Mytilus edulis: one gene and its partners. The protein of the gene in region 3 interacts with the protein of the main gene of each other region in a pairwise test. Links are inferred from orthologs where the notes say so. Each region holds a gene or a part of one and is shown on either strand. Other genes may lie near its edges. The genes, in order: ubiquitin-conjugating enzyme E2-22 kDa-like; iron-sulfur cluster assembly 2 homolog, mitochondrial-like; E3 ubiquitin-protein ligase NRDP1-like.

The links.
Region 1: the proteins of E3 ubiquitin-protein ligase NRDP1-like (region 3) and ubiquitin-conjugating enzyme E2-22 kDa-like interact in binary tests that used the Homo sapiens proteins (3 or more experiments, as listed by UniProt). The link is inferred for Mytilus edulis from reciprocal best matches to the Homo sapiens genes RNF41 and UBE2K.
Region 2: the proteins of E3 ubiquitin-protein ligase NRDP1-like (region 3) and iron-sulfur cluster assembly 2 homolog, mitochondrial-like interact in binary tests that used the Homo sapiens proteins (3 or more experiments, as listed by UniProt). The link is inferred for Mytilus edulis from reciprocal best matches to the Homo sapiens genes RNF41 and ISCA2.

What each region holds. Positions count from the first base shown.
Region 1 is NC_092351.1:24,259,301-24,267,276, forward strand, and holds the start of ubiquitin-conjugating enzyme E2-22 kDa-like, read left to right. Parts: upstream 1-3,471; 5' UTR 3,472-3,789; coding exon 3,790-3,852; intron 3,853-5,885; coding exon 5,886-6,038; intron 6,039-7,808; coding exon 7,809-7,891; intron 7,892-7,976. Other genes in the region: ribose-phosphate pyrophosphokinase 2, read right to left, coding at 1,203-1,386, 3,200-3,378. UniProt on the Homo sapiens protein: Accepts ubiquitin from the E1 complex and catalyzes its covalent attachment to other proteins. In vitro, in the presence or in the absence of BRCA1-BARD1 E3 ubiquitin-protein ligase complex, catalyzes the synthesis of 'Lys-48'-linked polyubiquitin chains.
Region 2 is NC_092346.1:1,251,044-1,259,019, forward strand, and holds the start of iron-sulfur cluster assembly 2 homolog, mitochondrial-like, read right to left. Parts: upstream 5,262-7,976; 5' UTR 5,202-5,261; coding exon 5,128-5,201; intron 1-5,127. UniProt on the Homo sapiens protein: Involved in the maturation of mitochondrial 4Fe-4S proteins functioning late in the iron-sulfur cluster assembly pathway. May be involved in the binding of an intermediate of Fe/S cluster assembly.
Region 3 is NC_092357.1:19,896,321-19,904,296, reverse strand, and holds the start of E3 ubiquitin-protein ligase NRDP1-like, read right to left. Parts: upstream 4,785-7,976; 5' UTR 4,669-4,784; intron 1,162-4,668; 5' UTR 1,158-1,161; coding exon 1,068-1,157; intron 1-1,067. UniProt on the Homo sapiens protein: Acts as E3 ubiquitin-protein ligase and regulates the degradation of target proteins. Polyubiquitinates MYD88. Negatively regulates MYD88-dependent production of pro-inflammatory cytokines.

The DNA of each region.
Region 1 (7,976 bases), on a different chromosome or scaffold from region 3:
ATCTTTTTGACCCAACCTTTTGCCTTTAACATCTACACATTTCCAGTCATAAAAGTGACATGATGATTAATTACTATCAAAACAACCCCTACTTCAATACTTTCTTATTTTAATCAAGGTTAATTAGTTATTGGGCAGGTGATATCTACCTGTTCAGTTGACAGGTAAATTATGTTCAGTACCGGACATCGTATAAATGGATCGGTCTATTCACAATTATTCTAAATTATAAGAAATTAGTTTATCTACATGATCTGATAAAATTTTTTAAAAGGTTTAAATGAAAAATCGTCAGAACTACGTCGAATGAACTAGAACATGTGTGCGCATGTGCAAAGGTGGGAAATTTAATTATGCATCCTTTATTTCTTCAAAATGCTAAAATTATCATTGAAACCTGTATCTTAACGTTCATTTCAAGCATTTTGATGAAGAAATAACGTGGATAGAGCTTTTCACTCAGTCATTCTTTGCAAACGTACATGGATTTTACGTGTTCGTTTACGGTCCATGTTTTACCATTGTCAAGTCAACATCTGGTTTTAGAAAAACGTGATTTTAAAAACGAAAATGTAGTTTTTGACATGTCATTTTGCACAAATAAAGAGTCTATGGCAGATATGAGCACGCTGATGTGCACACTTTGAATGATGCACTGCCAATTTAACAGTTTACATCCAAACATCCAAAACAAAGTAAAGTTTAAAATCGTTTTTTCATCTAATGTCATTATCATAGGAATGGCCATCTGATTACCATAATTGCCTTTTGTGACTTAGGTCTTAAGGGATTAAAATCGGGATCAGATATAAAATGTCCGGCTGGCTCAAATGTTTTTTGGAAGCCCTGATATAAACAAATATCAAACCCACAACAAGGACCTACCAGTAACCTTTTTTTGTTATTACCAAATAGTTTTTTTGTTTTTTTTTTTTTAACTCAAAAGCTTATTTCCACATTGCAGTTTTAAGAATAAGTGTTGACAGTAAGAGGCTTGCTACCATAGAAAATTAACTATTTAGACATCTCAGCCACTGACAGGTTGGGAACAAACCCTCTACATGGTGATTATACCTGTATAGAGAGATAATCCTTCTATAGAGGGATAAAATTGTTCCCATCCTGACTGAGGCTTAAATAGATATATATGTTCAAAACTTGAAGTAATGGAAAATGTAGCACTGTTCTTTAAAAATACTTACTTTATCTTTTTTGTCCTGTCTAGCGTATGGGAAACATGGAATGAGAGCTGTGACACGACACGCAGATGCTATCTTACAGGCATTTATCATGATCAACAATTCCATCAACATATCATTCACCTCATCACAACCACTCTGTACAATGTACACATCTTCTCCACGCACAGATTCTCCAATCTCAACACTGAAAAAAAGGATTGATATATAATTACTGTTTCTCAACAGACAAATTGTATAATCTCAACACTGAAAAAAGGATTTTCTCTCTGGATATCATAGTTTTTGTGATAATAGGCAACAACAAAAAAAAAAAAAGAGGCTCCAAAGAACCTGTTTTGCACACATGATATTTTTATTTACAATTAATGCATGAAATAATGCAACCATTATACTTTTTCTCTAGTTTTAGAGGTACTAGTCAAAAACTGCATTTTCCCCCTACGTTCTATTTTTAGCCATGTCTACCATGTTGTTTGGCAGGCAGGGTCATCGGACACAATTAAAAAAACTAAATACCCTATTAATATTGCTTATTTGTGGCCAAGTTTGGTTAAATTTGTCTCATTTGATTCAGAAAACTTTTTTTAATAGATTACAAAAATTTTTGAAAAATTGTTAACTCCTTATGTGGTCAATTGACCATTTTTGTCATGATGACTTATTTGAATGTCATACTTTGCTGAACATTATTGCTGTTTACAAATTATCTTTATCTATAATAATATTCAAAATAATAACCTAAAACAACAAATTTTTTTTCAAATTAATAATTCAGGGGCAGCAACCCAACTAGGGGTTGCCTGAATTGTCTGAAAATTTCAGGGCAGATACATGTAGATCTTGACCTGAGGAACAATTTTATTTCACGTCAGACTTGCTCTAAATGCTTTGGTTTCAGAGATATAAGCCAAAATCTACATTTTATCCTTCATATAAAATTTATTTATATTTTTTAATAAAAGTAGAGCGATTGAACAAGGGCAAACAGACTCTATGCTTAATAGTGTAGTATAGGAAGCTTGACCTTGCAATTAAATAACAGGCACACATGGTCCCAAAATGAGTTGTTTTTATATTGAAAGAACATTTAATTTATTTCTATCAAAGATTTCTTTTTTTGATTTATTTGTGTATGTAACATAAATTCTTGAGGTGGTGGAAATTTGAATATTGGGGAATATTGTCCCAAGTAGAATTCTATATTTGCATGAGCTTGCGAATGCAATATATGTTCTACGAGGGACAATATTCCCCAATATACACCTTATCGCTATTTGTCCGCCATTACTGGATATCACACAGGTTCCCGTAAAATTTTGACGTCATAAAACAAAATGTCTGACGCCACAATGGAAAAGTGATTGTTATTGACGTCAAAAGTTCAAGCGGCTGGGTCAGCCGGGATTAGCGATAAGGTGTATTCATGCAATAACCCTTTTATTGTATAGCAATATAATATTAGAAAGTTAAAATTGGTTTAAACTAAGATTTTGTCGTTGATGACATCATTAATTTCAAAGATTTATTACTCTAGTGCAATATTGGAATTTATTGCACGCTAACTTTTGGATACTTTCTGTGGGAAATATTATATTGCTATGCAATAATGTGATATATTGTGTATTGACATTTTCCTCTATGTGAATGGAGGTGTGCCTTGATTGGCAGAACTACGTTAACAGAATCAGAAACAGAATATGGTCGAAAGAACTTGATGAGAATAGACCAAGGGCGACCAGAAACCTATGTCTAAGCCATGATCCCACATAATTTTACTCACATTTATAATGAGAAAATCATTGGAAATGCCTAGTAATTTTTTTAAACATGCAAATTAAAAACCAACTTTCAAATCTCATCATGTGTAACAGCTGTCTCACATAAGAAATATCAACTCTAAAACCTAATTTTCAACGAGTGTCACTATTCAGGTCAAATAGTCTGTTGGTGCCCCATGGGCATGGATACAAAATAATGATAAAATCACTCATGATCACCTGCATTCACCGTTGCTAAATTTTTTGGTAACAACTTTGCCTTGTTCTATTCCAAGACGATCGCAAATTTTCTGTGCAAGATCAACATGAGAACTTCCACTAAAAACCTTAATGTTAGGCATTCTTCCGAAGTCTGTCAAGCTTTTTGATTCAGAAATTTGTTTACGAATACCCAACATTAAACACGTTTGGCCTCAGGATGCATGTGAGTATTTTCATTTCTACGCTTGGTTGTAACGGATGTTACTGTAAAGCGTGAACATGATTAAGACAACTTGACCCTAAGATTGACCTTATATGACCTAATATATTTCAACGAAACGTAGAAAATAGTTAACTTCAATGAAACATTAGCGGAATTATATATAATTCTATCTTATTTTATCGCAAATATATTTAATTCAAAAATTTCCGTGATTAAAGTAAAAAGTTCAGTTTTGTATTTAATGCGCAACTTTCCATGTGCTCACTTCCGGAACAAGCACTGTTGAAAAAAACATTGAAAGTGTTACTCATCCCGTTTAAAAATTAATTCTATTGATTTATTTTGCCCTTAACTTGTGATTGATGTAACATTTTGTCTTGTAAATATGGCCAATATTGCTGCTGCTCGAATACAAAGAGAATTCAAAGAAGTGGTTAAAAGTGAAGAGGTACAGACTGCTATGTTCTTTGAGATATATTCCATCTATAAACAGCAGATTTATTTCATGATCACACCGACTCCAAAAGCCAATCTTTATCATGAAATGGTTTCAATCTAGAACCATATATTTACTGATTTCATCATGGACTTATCATTTCCTTATCAGGACAGAAGTGAATATGAGTTATGACCAAGACATTTTAACAGGACAACCTGAAGGAGACTATTCCTAGTTACCTAATTTCCTGATTGATGGGTAACATCCCCAAATTCATGGTTAATAGCTCAGATCACTCTTGTCATTGCCATTGATGCTAAAAGTTGTGAATTTTGGTCTGATGGCAAAATTTCTACATCACTATTTAGTATTATTCCCAGTTTAATAAGCATAATTATTTCATACTCAACTTTAAAAAGAAGATGTGGTATGATTGCCAATGAGACAACTCTCCACAAGAGACCAAAATGACACAGAAATTAACAACTATTAAGGTCACCATACAGCCTACAACAATGAGCAAACCCACACTGCATAGTCCGCTAGAAAAGGCCCTAAATGACTTATAACATGTAGATTGATAATAATAATAATAATAATAAATTCTTTATTTAAAGAGGGTAAACTCAGTTAGTTACAATAAACTAATCTTCCTCACCAAGGCAGAAACCAATATGGGGAAATTGAGTTGACTGCAATAAGGAATGTTCCAATAATCACCTGTACAGGCTTATTTTGTGTGTGACTTGCTTTGTAGAATCTGGGACGGTTCACCTTGATTTATGCTCACTCTGGGTCTGACTACCCCAATACCAATGAATATACACATTTTATTTTGTATTCTGTATCATGTCACTTAATTTATAGTATAGAGGTTTATTTAAAAGTTAACTTTCACACATAATTTGATATTCATTTTAAACAAAACAGCATGCATTATGAATAAGCATGATAAGTAAAAAAATAAAAGTTACGTGATTAGCATGATTAGTGCAAGCTATCAAGGTTAAACTCTGAACAGGTGTAAAAAGCTTATGCATCTATTTCCCATACAGAAACATGATAAAAGAAACTTGCATGTAAATAAATGAAAAATCCCAATGTCCTACATGTCCTAGCTATATACAAACAATTTGAAGTACAGACTTTATTCTGGCAAACTTTACAGTTAAACTAATTGTTCTGCGCCTCTGGGTGCATGGGATGTTTTGATTGACAAATAAAAAATGCTGTTGTTGTAAACAGTCTTTTATCATTTGAACTACTCCTGACAGACATGAAACAATGACAACCACTAAACTACAGTAAGCCACATATAGAATTTGGCAGGGTTAAACATGTTTGGAGGTGCCAATCCTTCTCTAACCCAGGACAGCAATGTAACTGCACAACACAGAACAAACTTAACAAATAAAACTAAAGGGAAAACAAATGAGAAAACAAAAAACAATAACTACTCAATTACAGGCTACTGACAGTCTTTTGAAACATGTTTATCAGGCATATAAAGAATGTTGCATGGTTAAAAAGGTGCCAATGCAACCCTCAATTAACCTGGAAAAGTAATGTACAATGTAACAGTGCAACATAAAAACAAATACTTAAAATCAGTTGAAAAAGATCTAGATCTTATTACAGTGTTGAATTGCATTTGGCAACCTTTTAGAATAAGATATTCAACATGTTCTAAGGATTAAATAAGTTTACCTGTTGTGTTTCTGCACTCTTACAGTGAAAGTTACTTTACCTAGACTCAAACAAATATTTTGAAACTTAAACACATTGGTTTTTACCACCAAACACTGGTCATGTTCAAATTTGAGTGGCATCACTTGCACTGTTCATGTCCCTTTATAAATGAAAAAAATGTAATTTGTTGTATATTTACAAGCCCTAGACATCTGTCCTATGGATATATTCTTCATTTATTTAAGTTTAACAAAAATAACATACAAGTGGAAAGTGATAATGAGTAGATTTTACCTTCTTACAAATATCTAACATACATGTATAACTAAATGCGTTTATCTTTTATAATCCAGGTGGAACGCTGTAAGATAAAAGTATCACTGAAAAATGATATGTATAATGAGTTAGAAGGGACGATAGCAGGACCTCCCGACACACCATATGCTGGAGGAACATTCAAACTAGAAATTAAAATTCCAGAAACATATCCATTTAATCCTCCTAAGGTAAGCTGAAATATTGACTTGGACACTATGTATTTTATCATTTACTATGCCAAAAACAATGCTCATTTTTGATGTGTAATAAAAGCTGAACATTAATAAGATATCATTGCTCAGGTTTTCTTTTGCAATTTACATGAATACTTTAAATACCAATTAGTCCTAGGGATAAAAATGTATACCTGAGTAACCTCCATTGTTAAACATTTTATAACAGAGTTACATGTAAAAAAAAATATCAAATTAACTAACTAATCATATACTAATGCAGTGGTCTCGCTAGCCCAAAATAGAAGGGCGCCGCGCCCTGGGTGCCCTCAGCCGCTCCCTGGGTGCCTTCATCCGCGCCCTTCTGCCCTGACGTCTTTTTCCAAAATTATCTTGTGCCGTTTTGGTAAAATTTTGTTTCATCGATTTCTGATCTCCAAGTTAATTACATATATGACCTGTGTGATTGCCCCCAGGTTAATCATGTCATTACAATCAATTACAATGATAAAGACTTCAAAGGTGTTAATAACTAGGTAATTTAATTAGGACAATGTATCTTTTTGTCATACTTTTGATGAATGTGTCAGCGAGTGTGGTGTGTTTAGCTTGGGTCGTTATTTTCTTATTTTCGATCTCCAAGTCACAATGGAAGAGCGTATATAAATGAAGACTTTCATGGCTTTAGAATTGAATTTAAGTCATCAAAATAAAACTATGCCTTTACAGAAATGCCTTCCATCTCAACTTGTTAGCGACAAGCACAGTTTTTAATTAACCCAAACGTGGTGGAAATTGATTTTGGAGTTACTTCCCCTGTTTTAGCTTATTACAAATTTGTGCTCTAAAAATATTATCTAGTATCAAAAAAGGAATAAATTACCAATTGAATATATAATAACATAATAATGTTACCTTAAAGATATTAACTGTCTTTGAACATATTAAAAAATATATATTGCAATTTCTACTTAATAATTATACTTTTAGCAATCCATGTTCTAAACATTGTTAAATTAGTAATGCTCTCAGTTTCACATCTTATGATGTATTAAAAGCTATAATTCCTATGTAGATAAAACATAAAACACATATTCTTTTGATAATGGGTAGAGTGAAGTTAAACTGTAAAAACATAATATGTTGATGAAGATGTACTATATCATTCATAACTACACAAACATTGAAATAAAGACTATAGTTGAAAAGCATCTTTATTTAAAAAAAACAACATATACAGTAAAAAAAAAAAAGAGATTCATTACCTCGTGATACACACAGAAACGTAGACAAATAAATGAGCAGTGCCTTTTCTTATCATAAAAAGTGCCCTGCCCTCCACTGGCACCCTGCCCCTTTTGATTTCTAGCTAGAGCACTGTAATGTACTGTGTATATATGCATTTCAGGTATCAGTCATCCTTATTATTAAAGATATAAACCTAGGAAGATGTTGACTCTCATTTATTAACCATAAAACTGAAAACATGTTCCTCTTGATTTCTTATTTATAAATTTACAATAAACTTGTACAATAACATGTACCTGAAATTTTATTATTTGAGAGATTTTAGGCTGGGGAATATTGTCCAAGCTAGCCCATAGAGAAAAAAGTTTAAATTTATTCCCTGTAACTAACATAGGACACTGTATGGCCTGCAACAATGAGCAAAACCCATACCATTATTTGGCAAAAATTTAACAATTGAATTCTAATGAGAAAACTAATGGCCTGAAGTCTCTTTTGTGGTTGAGTATATTAATGGTAAACAAATCTTTTTTACAGGTAAAATTTACTACAAGAATATGGCACCCAAATATTAGTTCTGTCACAGGAGCTATTTGTTTAGATATTTTAAAAGATCAGTGGTGAGTTTTTGTGATTAAAAGACCTGTTGTATTAATAAAAAAATTGAAAGTAACTGAAAATGTGCATTAAGTCGTTTGTGAACTT
Region 2 (7,976 bases), on a different chromosome or scaffold from region 3:
GATATGGATGTATAGAGAAAGAGTTTATGACTCATTCTTAGCGACCTTTTACAAAAAGACTTAACATCATTGGAAGAATGGGAGAATAAATGGCAAATGAGTTTTAACGCCAAAAAATGCATAGTTATAAAAATAACTCAGAAGAACAAAGAAGTGAGAGATACATCATATAAACTCGACGGACATACACAAGACAATGTTGATGAAAGCAAATACTTAGGCGTAACAATCAGCAACAACCTATCTTGGAATAGACACATTGACAATATTGTGGGCAAAGAAAATAAAACATTGGGATTTATCCGAAGAAATCTAAAAGACTGCACAAAACCAGTAAAAGCAGCAGCATATACAGCCATGGTAAGACCTTCAGTGGAATATGCCTGCACAGTTTGGGATCCATCAAGCCAAAAAAAGATTAAATCATTGGAACAAGTTCAAACCAGATGCTCCGCAGGGCGCAGCTTTATACGACCGCAGAGGTTGAACCCTGAACAGTTGGGCAAGTATGGACACAACATTCAAGATGGATACAGCTCTAAATTTGGATTGTGATTAAATAGTTGACAAAGCATAGGTTTCTGACACAGAATGAATGTGGTCTAATGAACTTAAAATATTTTTTTTGCCTTTGAGCAATTCACTTTGCTGTTGAATATTAATCCTCTCAAAAAAATGTTTGAAGAAATTTTCTTTTTTTTATGAAATCTGAAATGAGAAAAATTTAACCCCCCCCCCCCCACTGAATGGTAAAGATTGTTTTAATTTATCAGTTGGTAGTAAAAGTGAATATACATTGTATATTATTATCACTGTACTATTATGCATATTTTAGGGGCCAGCTGAAGGACACCTACGGGTGCGGGAATTCTCGCTACATTGAAGACCCATTGGTTGCCTTCGGCTGTTGTTTGCTCTATGGTCGGGTGGTTGTCGCTTTGACATATTCACCATTTCCTTTCTCAATTTTATATTGTATAAAACAATGATTTAAGTTGACTCAACTACTATGCTGGACAAAGAAAGATAACTCCAATCAATTGAAAATTTCTTGCTATTGCACAATATTGTGCAATTAGATATTTCTGGCTATTGCGCAATACTGTGCAATTGAAAATATTTGCTATTGCACAATACTGTGCAATTGAAGATTTCTTGATATTGCACAATACTGAGCAATTGAAAATTTCTTGCTATTGCACAGTACTGTGCAATTGAAGATTTCTTGCTATTGCTGAATACTGTGCAATTGAAAATTTCTTGCTATTGCACAATACTTAAAATGACTAGATATCATTGAGATGGGAGTCATCTCTGTGGGCCCCGCTGTGAATAATGTGCATTAAAAAATTGTATCTTTACCATAGGACATGGGTTTGTCAACTGAAATCAAAGTTTTTGACCTTGACCTTTGACCTAGGAAGTTGTACATAAATTATGACACACCCTTTGGTGTTGGTTTATAAACATGTCAAGTAGAAACTTTGAAATGATAACGGTTCTCAAGATATAGAGCGGACACGATCTTTACCATAGGACATGGGGTTGTCAACTGAAATCAAAGTTTTTGACCTTGACCTTTGACCTAGGAAGTTGCACATAAACTATGACACACCCTTTGGTGTTGGTTTATATACATGTCAAGTATAAACTTTGAAATGATAACGGCTCTCAAGATCTAGAGCGGACACAATCTTTACCATAGGACATGGGGTTGTCAACTGAAACCAAAGTTTTTGATCCTTGAACTTTGCCCTAGGCAGTCGTTCATAAATTATGACACACCCTCTGGTGTTGGTTCATATACATGTCAAGTATAAACTTTGAAATCATATCGGTTTTCAATATATAGAGCGGACATGATCTTCACAACAGGACAAAGGGTTGTCAACTGAAACCAAAGTTTTTTTACCTTGACCTTTGACCTAGGAAGTTGTACATATATCATGACACACCCTCTGGTGGTGGTTAATAAACATGTAAAGTATAAAGTATGAAATCATAATGGTTCTCTAGATATGAAGCGGACACAAAGTGTTATGGACGGACAGACTGATCACTATAGGGGACCCGCCTTTGGCGGGGCCCTAATAATTTTGGATCCTGATTTGAAACAACTTGAAAACTGGGCCCATAAACAAAAATCTAAGTACATGTTTAGATTCAGCATATCAAAAAAGCCCAATAATTCAATTTTTGTTAAAATCAAATTTAGTTTAATTTTGGACCCTTTGGACTTTAATGTAGACCAATTTGAAAACAGGACCAAAAATTAAGAATCTACATACACAGTTAGATTTAGTATATCAAAGAACCCCAATTATTCAATTTTTGATGAAATCAAACAAAGTTCAATTTTGGACCCTTTTGGGCCCCTTATTCCTAAACTGTTGGGACCAAAACTTTTATGGTCATAAACCTTGTGTTTAAATTTCATAGATTTCTATTTACTTATACTTAAGTTATGGTGCGAAAACCAAGAATAATGCTTATTTGGGCCCCTTTTTGGCCCCTAATTCCTAAACTGTTGGGACCTCAACTCCCAAAATCAATCCCAACCTTCCTTTTGTGGTCATAAACCTTGTGTTTAAATTTCACTGATTTCTATTTACTTATACTAAAGTTATAGTGCGAAAACCAAGAAAATGCTTATTTGGGCCCTTTTTGGCCCCTAATTCTTAAAATGTTGGGACCAAAACTCCCAAAATCAATCCCAACCTTCCTTTTGTGGTCATAAACCTTGCGTGAAAATTTCATCGATTTCTATTCACTTTTACTAAAGTTAGAGTGCGAAAACTAAAAGTATTCGGACGACGACGCAGGATGACGACGCCAACGTAATAGCAATATACGACGAAAAATTAAAATTTTTGCAGTCGTATAAAAAGAGCAGCAAGATTTGTTCATAATAACTACTAAGACCGAACACCTGGATGTGTAACACACATGGTTAAACAATTACAGTGGAAAAGCCTGGAAGAACGTAGAAAAACCAACAGACTATGTATGCTATTTAAAATCCAGCATGGGCTTATTGATATAGATAGACAACAATATCCAATGACAGCTGGACCAGAGGTATAGGCCGCTTTTACCAAGAAAGAACAAAATCTGAAACCTATGGACAGTCATTCTTCCCAAAGACCATCAGGGATTGGAATCAACTACCAGCTAAAACAACATCAGCCGACTCGATAGAGGGTTTCAGAGCTGCTCTGAAAGCAGGCTCTGGAAGGAAATGAACAGCATAGAGTGTACATAATTTTAATTGTAAATTGGCGAATGTTTTAAATGTATATAACTTTGAGAGGACTTGCTGCCTTGCCCGGCAATGCGCCAAGTTTTTCGCGGGACCAAAAACATTCAGGATGAATACGGTTCCTTACTTGGAAGAAGAAGAAGAAGAAATATCTAAAATTATGCAACCATCATCTCACTAACTAACAAAGTTAATCTTATTTATTTTAAGGGGTTAAGCTTTCTTATAGGCCAAGTTTTCTAAGGTAATAAGTTGTAATTAATGTTATGCTCTTAATGGGCCCTTTAAAATTTGAAAATAAAAATATTGTATTGTATTGTATTGTATAAGTTTGTTAAACTGAGCCTAGTCATCATAGAATCACACATGTAATAACTGAAAGATCTTTTCTGGCCTTTTATAGCTGACTATGCGGTATGGGCTTTTCTCATTGTCATGATTGTTGAAGGCTGTACGGTGACCTATAGTTGTTAATTTCTGTGTCATTTTGGTCTCTTGTGGACAGTTGTCTCATTGGCAATGATACTACATCTTCTTTTTTATATCTTCATACCAGTGTGGGTTGATAGATTGTTGCTGGCTTAATGTCCAGTGACAATTGGTTCACACTTATACCATGTATTGATGATGTGATACCAATGTGAAAGTCAAACTGAATACCATGTTTTTACTTTCATGTCTTTTCTTCGTATGCGTAAGGTCCGACCATATGGGTATTTTGAAAAAGTATGCATACGGTCTGCAACATTTAGGTACAAGTTAAAAAAAAAAAATTTTTTTTGAAGACATAATCTAGACATAGAACTAATTTTATAGAAAAAATATGTAGATGGACGTCATGGTGAATAAGAATGTGTTCATGGTAGGTATCAGGTCCGTTCACGCCCAATATACTTTCGCACCCTACACGTTTGCACCTCGCACGTTCGCACTCTACACGTTCGCGCCCAATTTTAATTCAAATTCCAGTTGAATAGTTGGAAAATCATCATTGTTGTTTTTAATTGCTTTCGTGTAAATAATGAATGTATTTATAGCTTGGTATGAGTAAAAGATTCAAGATTATAAATGAAAAACACAAAAGATAATTGTTTTTAACAGCTTGGTCCCTTTGATCTGAACATGCTGAAACAAAGAAACAATAAAATATAGCAATACACTATTATAACCAAAACATGATAAAATTTATTCAAGACTCAAAAAAAAAAAAAAAACGTAGTCAGAATCTCACTTCATTTTGAAACAAGTCAATATGAAACAAAGTTATACATGTTATAGTAATACACTAACCAAAACATGATAAAGAGTTATTCAACACAAAATAAAACGTTGACAGAATCCCACTTTATTTAGAAATAGAAAGGAATATTTTTTTTTTTTTAAATACACTATCCAAAACATGATTAAGATTTATTCAACACAAAAAAATGCTGTATCACTTTATTTTCAGACAATGAAAACAATAATACTTATAAGAATACTACTTGATTACAAAGTTGAAATTGGGCGCGAACATGTAGGGTGCGAACGGACTTTGGGTGCGAAAGTGAAAGGGGGCGAACATGAGTGGGTGCGAACGTGAATGGGCGCGAACGGACCCGGATTCGTTCATGGTACATGTACACAGATGGCCCATTCACACTATCATTTTCTATGTTCAGTGGACCAGGAAATTGGGGGAAAACTCTTATTTGGCATTAAAATTAGAAAGATCATATCATACTGAATCATAGGGAACATGTTTACTAAGTCTTTCAAGTTGAAAATTGTTAAATTGTTAGTTTAAAATGTTGCATAAGCTAAAATGTCATATATAAAAGCAAGGCAACATTTTAAACTTCAAGATGTTATGAGGTTCTTGTTTATACTTGTATTTTGTAAGATTTTGTCTTCTAATTGCGCAGAAAGCCGTATATGACACTTTTTTCAGAAGAGATGTCATTTCGTTTTTGTTTACTTCATTCCATCAAGAGTTGTATCCCTTTAGCTCTTACTTAGGCTTAATACCGAAAGACAGTGATGCATACAACACAGGAACATAACGGTCATAAATTTTATATATGATCAGTCAAATTATTCAAAAAGTTTGTCATATAAACTAACTAACTCTAAACATATATAAGTTTGTGACAAATTACATGAATGCAAACAAACACCAAACACATTTTTAAAATGAAAGCCATAGAAATCCATATCCTATTAAAACATACACAAGTAAAAATCTAACGATCTACCTGAGAGTACTATAACACATTTTTATAGTAGTCTCAGGATCTACTAAGTCATATCAGATATATTTCATATCCCAATAAAAACATACACAAGTAAAAATCTAACGATCTACTAAGTCATATATATATTTTATGATAAATCAATCAAAGAGCTCATGTCCTCATTCTAATACCTGTTTTAAGTTTTAAAAGGATATTAAAATTCCGTTTTGAAGTTGATGGGGGAAAATATTCAATTTTCTACACCGTGAGGACATCATGAAAATCTGGCATGTATTTAACCTGAGACTACTATATATATATAACACATTATAGTGCCAGGTTTAACTACATTTCCTAAAAAGTTATCTCTTAGTTTAGATTTTTGTTACAGTATAAAATGAAATGAGCTTCATCCTCCAATGTATTGCAGGATGGTCATAGTCTTTTTCTAGGTATTTTTAAATGTTTTCCTTTTTCTTTCAATAAATTATGGTCTGCACTAATTATGATAAATACTTTATTTAATAAATTATTCTCATCTTTGTTGTGTTAATTCTCTTATCACTAGACTTACAGTTTAAAAGTAACCTTTCTATTTCTAAATTTTGCATCAAACTTCTAGCTATAAAACCAGGTTCAATCCACCATTTTCTACATTAGAGAATGCCTGTACCAAGTCAGCAATATGACAGTTGTTATCCATTCGTTTGATGTGTTTGGACTTTTGATTTTGCCTTTTGATTTTGAATTTTCCTTTTGAATTTTCCTCAGAGTTCAGTATTTTTATGTTTTTACTTTTTTTTTTATATTAAAACACTAAATGTACTAAATTTTCTGGACTGGCAAAGTCGCAAAACAATGTTGGATTCTTTTTTTGTGCTTTTTTTTCGATCGGAATTTCATAAACTAAATATTATTGCATACTGAATTGTACTTTTCGTATTGTTAACTTTCCTCAGTTCTATCTCGGACTAAATACATGATACATTAATACATGATAATATTCATATTGGTCCAAGCTTCCATTGATTGTGATTGCCAGGCTTAAGAAATGGTTTTTCAGATAGCTCGACACGCACATGTTGAAACTAAAGTTGCAGATTTTTATTAAAAAGATTATTCTGTACATATTTGTTGTTGAAAACCGTTTCATATAGTACTCGAAGGAAGGGCCATATTGTCATAAATTAATTTAAGGTCCCGCTCAAATTTTAATTTCCGCAAGTAAGTTTTCTGGTATGCTAAGGGACGACATCAAAAGTTCAATGAAGGATAAAAAAAAACTTAATTCACATAGTTTTTTCACTGACCCCCTGCCCCCACCCCCCTCTTAACTTAATTTGGGAAAAATTGATTTACCTATATGGATATATGTAAAATCGATTTTAAATTAACAAAACTTGCAGCAATGTTAACCCCCACCCCAAACTATTTGATTTAAGTTTGTTATCCTACATCGATCTTTTGCATGTTTTGATGTCGTCCATAAGAACACGATAACTTTCAATATGAAATGGTATGTCTTGTCAGATTTAAAAGTTATGACTGTCAGGGAAAATATAAAGTAATATTTTTTACAAGAACTATTATCGTTGAAATATTTTATTATTCTTCTAAAACGGGATTTTAAAACATTCACTTTTTTCTAGTCCAGAGCAGGAAAATACATCAATGAATGAGAATAAAATGCAGCAAATATTAGTGCATGATGATGATGTATATTGCATGAACTTTGTAGATATAATTATGCTCTATATGAACCCTTTAATTGAGAATAGTGCGTGTACTATTATATTCAACAGCACCAGGGGATCGCAAAGTATATATATATATTGAGATTTAAAAGGCAATATTTTAAATCATAAATTGTTAGTCCCCAATCTTCAAGTGTTACTGGTACACAATAGAGAATAATGGTAAGTAATGGACGAAAAAAAAAAAGAGCAAAAATGAGTTATTTTTTTAAGATAAAGAGATCAGGTATGAACACTGACACTAAGTTAAGTAAATAATTTGAGAATAAATTCATATATAATATAAGTTTATTATTCTTCTATTCCCATATATATGTGGTTTTTAGCTTGATTATGACCAATTGCTTATATTCCAAATATATATGTATATGCCTCTATTATTGTTGTTGTTAACCAATTATGTAAATCAATTGTATCGGATTTTATGCCCTTTATGCGCCCTGTAATTTGGGAAATAAAAATATTATATTCTATTCTATACTAAAATTTTCTTAAAAGTCCTCCAAAAAATTAAACGGAATTCAATTAATTGAAGACCACCCATTCAAACCAATGTACTCATAGTTGTGCATATTTGGAGTATTCGTATAAAAAAAGTATTGTTTGCTCTCCCGATTCTAGCGTTATTTTAAACATGAAAAAACGCGGACGTCAATTAAGCGAGGACGTCACTGAAAACACCTCTACTCATGATGCGGACGTCATAGAGACACGGGTACTCTTCGTATGTTAATTAAAGTATTTAAAATC
Region 3 (7,976 bases):
AATTGAAAGTAACAGAGTTCACTTGTTGGTCCGATAAATTAACTCTAGGGTTTGATTTAGATTGGACACATTACCGTAAAAACATCATTTTGTTTTAAGCCAGTTGATATTAATTATATAATATTAAACTATTAATGAACCGGATATTGCTCACTGAGTAGGTCATAAAAGGTTCTAATTGTGGTAAAATCATCTTTGTTGAAACTTTGTTGAAAAAACAAAAATTATGACCTGATCGGACTATAATGAAAATACTAAATAAGTGTTTTATTCGTATTTTTATACGTTTTTACGTTTTATTTCATATGATAATGACATGGGCATATACATACAAGAATAATTATCTTATTTTAAATAAAAATGTCACACTTTTATCTGACAATGAATGGACATTTAAATAACGTATTTTAAAGCACACAGGTGCAATCAAGATCGATTAAATGTACAAAGGTAATAAATCTGGCTAATCCGATTATGTTGTCACGCGTCATTAATTTTCAGTTCATCCGATGGGCAATAAACCAATTAACAGCCACGCGGTGTTGGGAGAGAATCTTTGGAGGAAATTGGGAGTAGAATCCGTGATTCGCGGTGTCACACCGCTACACTCGGAAATCGGTGATAAAAGTTCGCGATTACAAACTCTCTGGGCGTACTGTAAATAAATAAAAAAAGTTTTGCCTTATCTCTGGAGTAGCATCTCTTTTAAAAATACTTTTTTATTTAGCAAATAATACCTGTATGACTTTATTTCAATAGTTTATTTTACAATGTTATGTAAAATACTGTGTTGTATCAATTATATATATGCTATGTGTACATGTATATGCCCCCCTGGGAACCTAACTTGAAAAATAAAATTAATCTTATCTAACAATGTACCTTGGCTATTAACCAGGTTTTTGACTTTCTAGTTCAAGAGATACATTTGCAACAGTCAGCAGGAAGACAAGTCACAATACCAGGACACATAAATACACAGAAATACATTTTTTGGCAGCATTCATTTAATTTTAATATAAAGAATATTTCTAACTGAATCACATATTCTTTATTTTGACACATACCTGTAGGGGTTCTTCTAAAACACTGCTACAGATAGGACATATCAGCTCCTCGTCAACATCGCCCTGAAATCTGTTTACTTCATATCCCATCTTCCTGTAATTGAAATATTTCATATTATTAGCATTGCTCAATTTACACAATTCATTATATGTATAATAAATGTACACAAGGTAGTTCCAGAATTCCAAAAAAGGATTTTCCAATGTCAGTCTGACATTTATTATCAACTCTTTTTCTTCTTGTGTTTACAATAAAAAACAGTATCTCAAAACTTACATTTGTGTACTGATTTATGTGGATCTTCTTCCTTATTGACAGTACTTAGCTATATCTTCCCAATATGACCATGATGACAGTAAACAAACATTGTCATCGAGTCATAAATTGAAAAACATGATAAAGATTAATATCATGATAATTCTTGAAAACCAGTGATCTTTTTAAAAAAAATGATTTTAAGTACATGTGCATTGTCATTAATAAAATAGATGCAAGACAAATATGATCTAGTCAAATATAATGTAAGTACTACTTTATTTAAAAGATATGGAGCTCCAGATCTGGACCCTACATGTATAACATAAATTACATAAATAAACTTAACAATGAGTAATTTTGCATAGGAACCATTACAAAGGATCTTGGTGCAGCAACATCATAACTGCAAAAAATATGTGCTTACTCTGAACATGCTGAAGTTGAACAGCAGAGAGCGCAATTTAAAAAATCCTGACATTGCCTAGGGTCTGGGAATAACCCTAAATATTTTTAGAACAAATCTTGCAAGAGGAAGGTGATTTCAAGAACTGGCGAGCCCTAGCCTGAATCCTGCATTTAAACAAATATAAATTTAAGTACCTTAATAAATTACCATGAGCAACAGTGTACCATACAATTGTAAGAGGAAAAGCGTAGAATATATAAGAGACAAGTTGTGTCAATTATGACCCTAGGATCAGGATCAAAACTTTTCAAGTTACATGCTGTAAGTGTGTAACAGGAGTGAAAGTTGTGATGTTTAGTTTGTATATAAAACTATATAATTCCTAGCATTTCCCATCTTGTTTCCTATTTTCCCTGGTTCTGAGATATTAGTCCTATAATAATTAATTCCTTAGAAATTCTGATGGTTTATTAAACTATTGATTACATCAATATTGTCCATACATGCCATACACTTTAGATACAATTCAGTGGTTGACGTTCTTACCATAAATATTATTGTTTCCCCAAGGGTTTTCTAGCAGCTGTCAGTATGAAGTATTAAATCGGGGTTCTCTTGGGACTAGGCACTACCCACTAAAACACCTGACCGGGCTCGGGACCAAAGAAAGTGTCCCGACTGGAAGTACAATATAATAGTTAGAACGTCAATCACTACAAGTCAAGTGTCATAGACTCCTAATAAGCAATTCAATATATATCAAACGTCAATGAAATTAAATTTTAAAAATCTAAGCTTGTTTTTAGTATCCCATTTGTTTGAGGGTGGTAATCACTAATGGGGGTGCCTTCATGACGAAATTGTTTTTAGGCAAATGACGTAAACAGTAATATTTGGTGCATGACGATTAAATTTACATTTTCTTCAGACGATAAAAATTATCAATTGATATTGATGATTCACGTTTAATTTGTCCAACAATTGACGCTAACGATAATTATACATTTGTTATGTGAGACCTCTGACAAATCACAATCAGAATTTTTGACAAATCACAGTAAAAATTTTACCAATTTGACAGTAACGGTACATGAAAAAGACCGTTTTACGCCTGACAGTAAATTAAAGGGCATATAATTACTACCCCTAGTATTCGATCCAGTACAGTGCCAGAAGATTGGAAACAAGCAAACGTAACAGCAATATTTAAGAAAGGAAGCAGATATGATGCTAGTAACTATAGACCCGTCTCACTCACCTGTCTATGTTGTAAATTCCTGGAACACATCATTGTCAGTAACACCTTGAAACATCTAGACAATCACAAAATACTTACCAACTGTTAACATGGTTTTAGAGCAAGACGAAGCTGTGAAACTCAACTCATCACGTTTGGCATGAGCTTGCATCAGCTCTAGACAGAGGAGAGCAGATTAATATGGTTATCCTTGATTTCTCTAAGCATTTGCTAAGGCCTTTGATCGTGTCTCACATACATGTAGACGGCTGCTCAACAAACTACAGCATTATGGAGTTACAGGACAAACACATAAGTGGATTTAATCGTTCTTAGCCAAACGTACCCAACAAGTCATGGTTGAGGGAGAATCTTCAGAGAAAGTTCCTGTGGTCAGCGGAGTCCCCCAATGGACTGTACTTGGACCGTTACTATTCCTCCTATTCATTAATGACTTAACTGACAACATAACATCCAACACACGACTATTTGCAGACGATTGTATAGTATACAGAACGATAACATCTACTGTTGATACTAATGTAGTTACAAGAAGATCTTAACAAACTTGCAGAATGGGAAAAAACCTGGGGCATGGACTTTCACCCACAGAAATGTAGTGTACAATCTACCACTAGATCACGTTCACCAATAATACACTCATACACGCTTAAGGGACAAGTGCTAGAAAGATCAAAAAGTACCAAATACCTTGGAGTCGACATTGAATCAGACCTCTCCTGGAAACAACACATCAATAGCGAAACCAAGACAAATGCATATGTTGCAATGGTCAGATCCAACTTAGACTACTGCGCAACAGTATGGAATCCACATTAAAAAGAGCAAGTAAAAAAGGTTGAAATGGTCAAGCAGCCGCTATAGGAACACCAGTAGTGTGGGCAGCATGTTAGAAGAACTAGACTGGGATTCATTGGAAAACAGAAGAGTCAAATTACAGCTTACATTACTCTACAAAGTTGTTAATGATCTTGTGGACATACCATGCGACACGTACTTAACACCAATGTCATCGAGAACAAGATCATCACATACAAAGAAGTTCCGGCAATATTCAACCAAGACTAATGGCTACAAATACAGTTTTTTCCCCAAGAACAGTGACAGTTAGGAACACACTACCAGCAACTGTAGCTGAGGATCCCTCCTTGGTATCTTTCAAGAGGGAGCTTTCAACACTTTCTATCTAATCTGTGCATTCCCCCATTTGCCAAGTAAGTCAAAATGATGGACTGGAGCTGTGCCGGCTGGGATTATTTTCCCTGGTACCCCCACGGAAGATATTCTTTGGTTATCTTACAAAATTACTCTTTTTCTTGCGCCCACCAGAAGCGTTGACTATTGGTCAAGTTTGACAGATCAACTTGGAATGTAGATGTACCCTCATTTGTTTGTATTGGGAATATTACTTGCACATAGATTTTTTCGAAAGTCATTCACTGTCAAAACAATCCATGTATGCTTTGAGGGAAATATTAGGATATTGTAGTTCCGATATTGAGACACTTTCCGATACAGGTAGTTATTCTTTGAGGACTTTGTGTCTGTGATTTAGGGTTTGGGAAACCACCGTCTCCTGGTTCGGCCTACTTCGACAAAGGAGTCAGGCAGTATAATTGGGAAATTTATAATTAAAATAATAAGTGATGTGTTTATTTTTGCTTGAAACCAATTTTACCAGTTCAAATGAAGGCAAACTTCTGTAATAGTGGATAATCAGTGTCTGTTTTTCTTTTCATGATGTCGCCATATTTTCATCAACTTCCTGCAAGAACAATAACTCTGCTAAATCAGTAAGTTTTTTTTAGCGGGAACTTCAAACTCGGGTCGTATTATTTTTTACCCAAAACTAACTTATGTTTTAACTTAGTTTCATTTATGTATTAAATGCATTTGTAAGTCGTTGGACAAAAGTGAGTACCCACTCAAAAAATGTCCTATCATTTCAACTAAAATCGCACCACCAAACGGTGTATTTAGGATTTTGCTATATACACGGGTCATAGTCACAGGGTTGACACTGACTACTAAATTCAATCATTGTCAAATTGTTCCCTATTGTAGTATTTTAATTAGTAAGATAATAATACGAATACTAAAAATATGGACCTAAAATGATAAGGCGTTTATGTACAGTTTCGGTTAATTTGGTAGCGGGCATGACGTAAAACAGCGAATCAAAGAATTCAACTTTATTTATAACTAATGTAGGACAATGCTGTTGATTAAAAAATACTCCATTCCAAGACCTTTTATTTTCCAAATAATTAATATTACAAATAATTGATAAGTTCCAGGTCGACGGGTTCAAACAGAAAGTAGAGGAAACTGTGTATCTTATAATCGGCAGTACTTTATATATCATATGACAATACTAATACTAAAATAAGGCTAACGCATAGTTATATACTTCAATTCAGTCAAGGACCCGCGATTTCACGGGTGTGTTCTAGTATGATAAATGTATATTCTTTTCCCGAAACCCCCTTTCTCAGTTCGTCTAAATCCTGGATCCGCACCTGGTGACTGCTATGACTATGATCGTCCAATGCATATCTAAAAAAATAAAACATGTAAATATGTCCACTACAAACCAATCGCCTATGAAACAAGTATTGGAGATTTTGTCTTTTTTTTCAATTATATTCGTGCAAAACAAAGAACAAGCTTTACGAAACTTTTTGTCCACTACGACCGAAACGGTTTTGTCCACTACGACACTCATCAAAATGTCCACTGCGTAACGTGAGTTGTACCTTCATATTGCCATATATCATAACTTCCTTTTAAATTTACCTCTTCGCTCATTCCCATATTTTGTGGCATTCCTAATAGTTCTTGGGATTTTTTTGTATTATAACATAGTTCGTGTTTTCCCATTTACAAATTTCTTGAAGCTGGTTCACCTTTCAAATTTTATGATATAATAGTATGTAGCTGTTTTCATTAGAACTATTTTAAATAATATAAACAGAAATGTCATAAGATGTTGAAACGTGATTAATTCATCACCATAATTTCATCATATACTATCAGATATACGTTTTAGTGTCAATATAAAAAAAACACTATCCAGTTACGATTATCTTCTCATTTTTAGCTGCTTTATCTTCTCATTTTTAGCTGCTTTTCTCACCACTTGGCGTCCGTCGTCCGTCGTCGTCGTCGTCCGGCGTCGTCCGTCGTCGTCGTCGTTAACAATTTACATTTTGAACTTCTTCTAGAGAACCACTGAATGGAATGGAACCAAACATGGCATGAATGTTCCTTATGAGGTGCTGACCAAGTGTTGTTACTTTGTAGTCGATCCATCATCCAAGATGGCCGCCAGCGGGGGACTTAGTTTAACATAGGACGCTATGGGAAATGCATACAAATGACTTCTTTTAGAGAACCATTGAATGGAATGAAACCAAACATGGCATTAATGTTCCTTATGAGGTGCTGACCAAGTGTTGTTACTTTGTTGCCGATCCATCATCCAAGATGGCCACCAGCCGGGGACCCAGTTTAACACAGGACCCTATGGGAAATGCATACAAATGACTTCTTTTAGAGAACCACTGAATGGAATAAAACCAAACATAGCATGAATTATCCTTATGGGGTGCTGACTAAGTGTTGTTACTTTGTAGCCGATCCATCATCCAAGATGGCCGCCAGCGGGGGACTTAGTTTAACATAGGACCCTATGGGAAATGCATACAAATGACTTCTTCTAGAGAACCACTAAATGGAATGAAACCAAACATAGCATGAATGTTCCTTTTGGAGTGCTGACCAAGTGTTGTTACTTTGTAGCCGATCCATTATCCAAGATGGCCACCAGCGGGGACTTAGTTTAACATAGGACCCTATTCGAAATGCATACAAATGACTTCTTCTAGTGAACCACTGAATGGAATGAAACCAAACATGGCATGAATGTTCCTTATGAGGTGCTGACCAAGTGTTGTTACTTTGTTGCCGATCCATCATCCAAGATGGCCACCAGCCGGGGACCCAGTTTAACACAGGACCCTATGGGAAATGCATACAAATGACTTCTTTTAGAGAACCACTGAATGGAATAAAACCAAACATAGCATGAATTATCCTTATGGGGTGCTGACTAAGTGTTGTTACTTTGTAGCCGATCCATCATCCAAGATGGCCGCCAGCGGGGGACTTAGTTTAACATAGGACCCTATGGGAAATGCATACAAATGACTTCTTCTAGAGAACCACTAAATGGAATGAAACCAAACATAGCATGAATGTTCCTTTTGGAGTGCTGACCAAGTGTTGTTACTTTGTAGCCGATCCATTATCCAAGATGGCCACCAGCGGGGACTTAGTTTAACATAGGACCCTATTCGAAATGCATACAAATGACTTCTTCTAGTGAACCACTGAATGGAATGAAACCAAACATGGCATGAATGTTCCTTATGAGGTGCTGACCAAGTGTTGTTACTTTGTTGCCGATCCATCATCCAAGATGGCCACCAGCCGGGGACCCAGTTTAACACAGGACCCTATGGGAAATGCATACAAATGACTTCTTTTAGAGAACCACTGAATGGAATAAAACCAAACATAGCATGAATTATCCTTATGGGGTGCTGACCAAGTGTTGTTACTTTGTAGCCGATCCATCATCCAAGATGGCCGCCAGCGGGGGACTTAGTTTAACATAGGACCCTATGGGAAATGCATACAAATGACTTCTTCTAGAGAACCACTAAATGGAATGAAACCAAACATAGCATGAATGTTCCTTTTGGAGTGCTGACCAAGTGTTGTTACTTTGTAGCCGATCCCTTATCCAAGATGGCCACCAGCGGGGACTTACTTTAACATAGGACCCTATTCGAAATGCATACAAATGACTTCTTCTAGTGAACCACTGAATGGAATGAAACCAAACATGGCATGAATGTTCCTTATGAGGTGCTGACCAAGTGTTGTTACTTTGTAGCCGATCCGTCATCCAAGATTGCCACC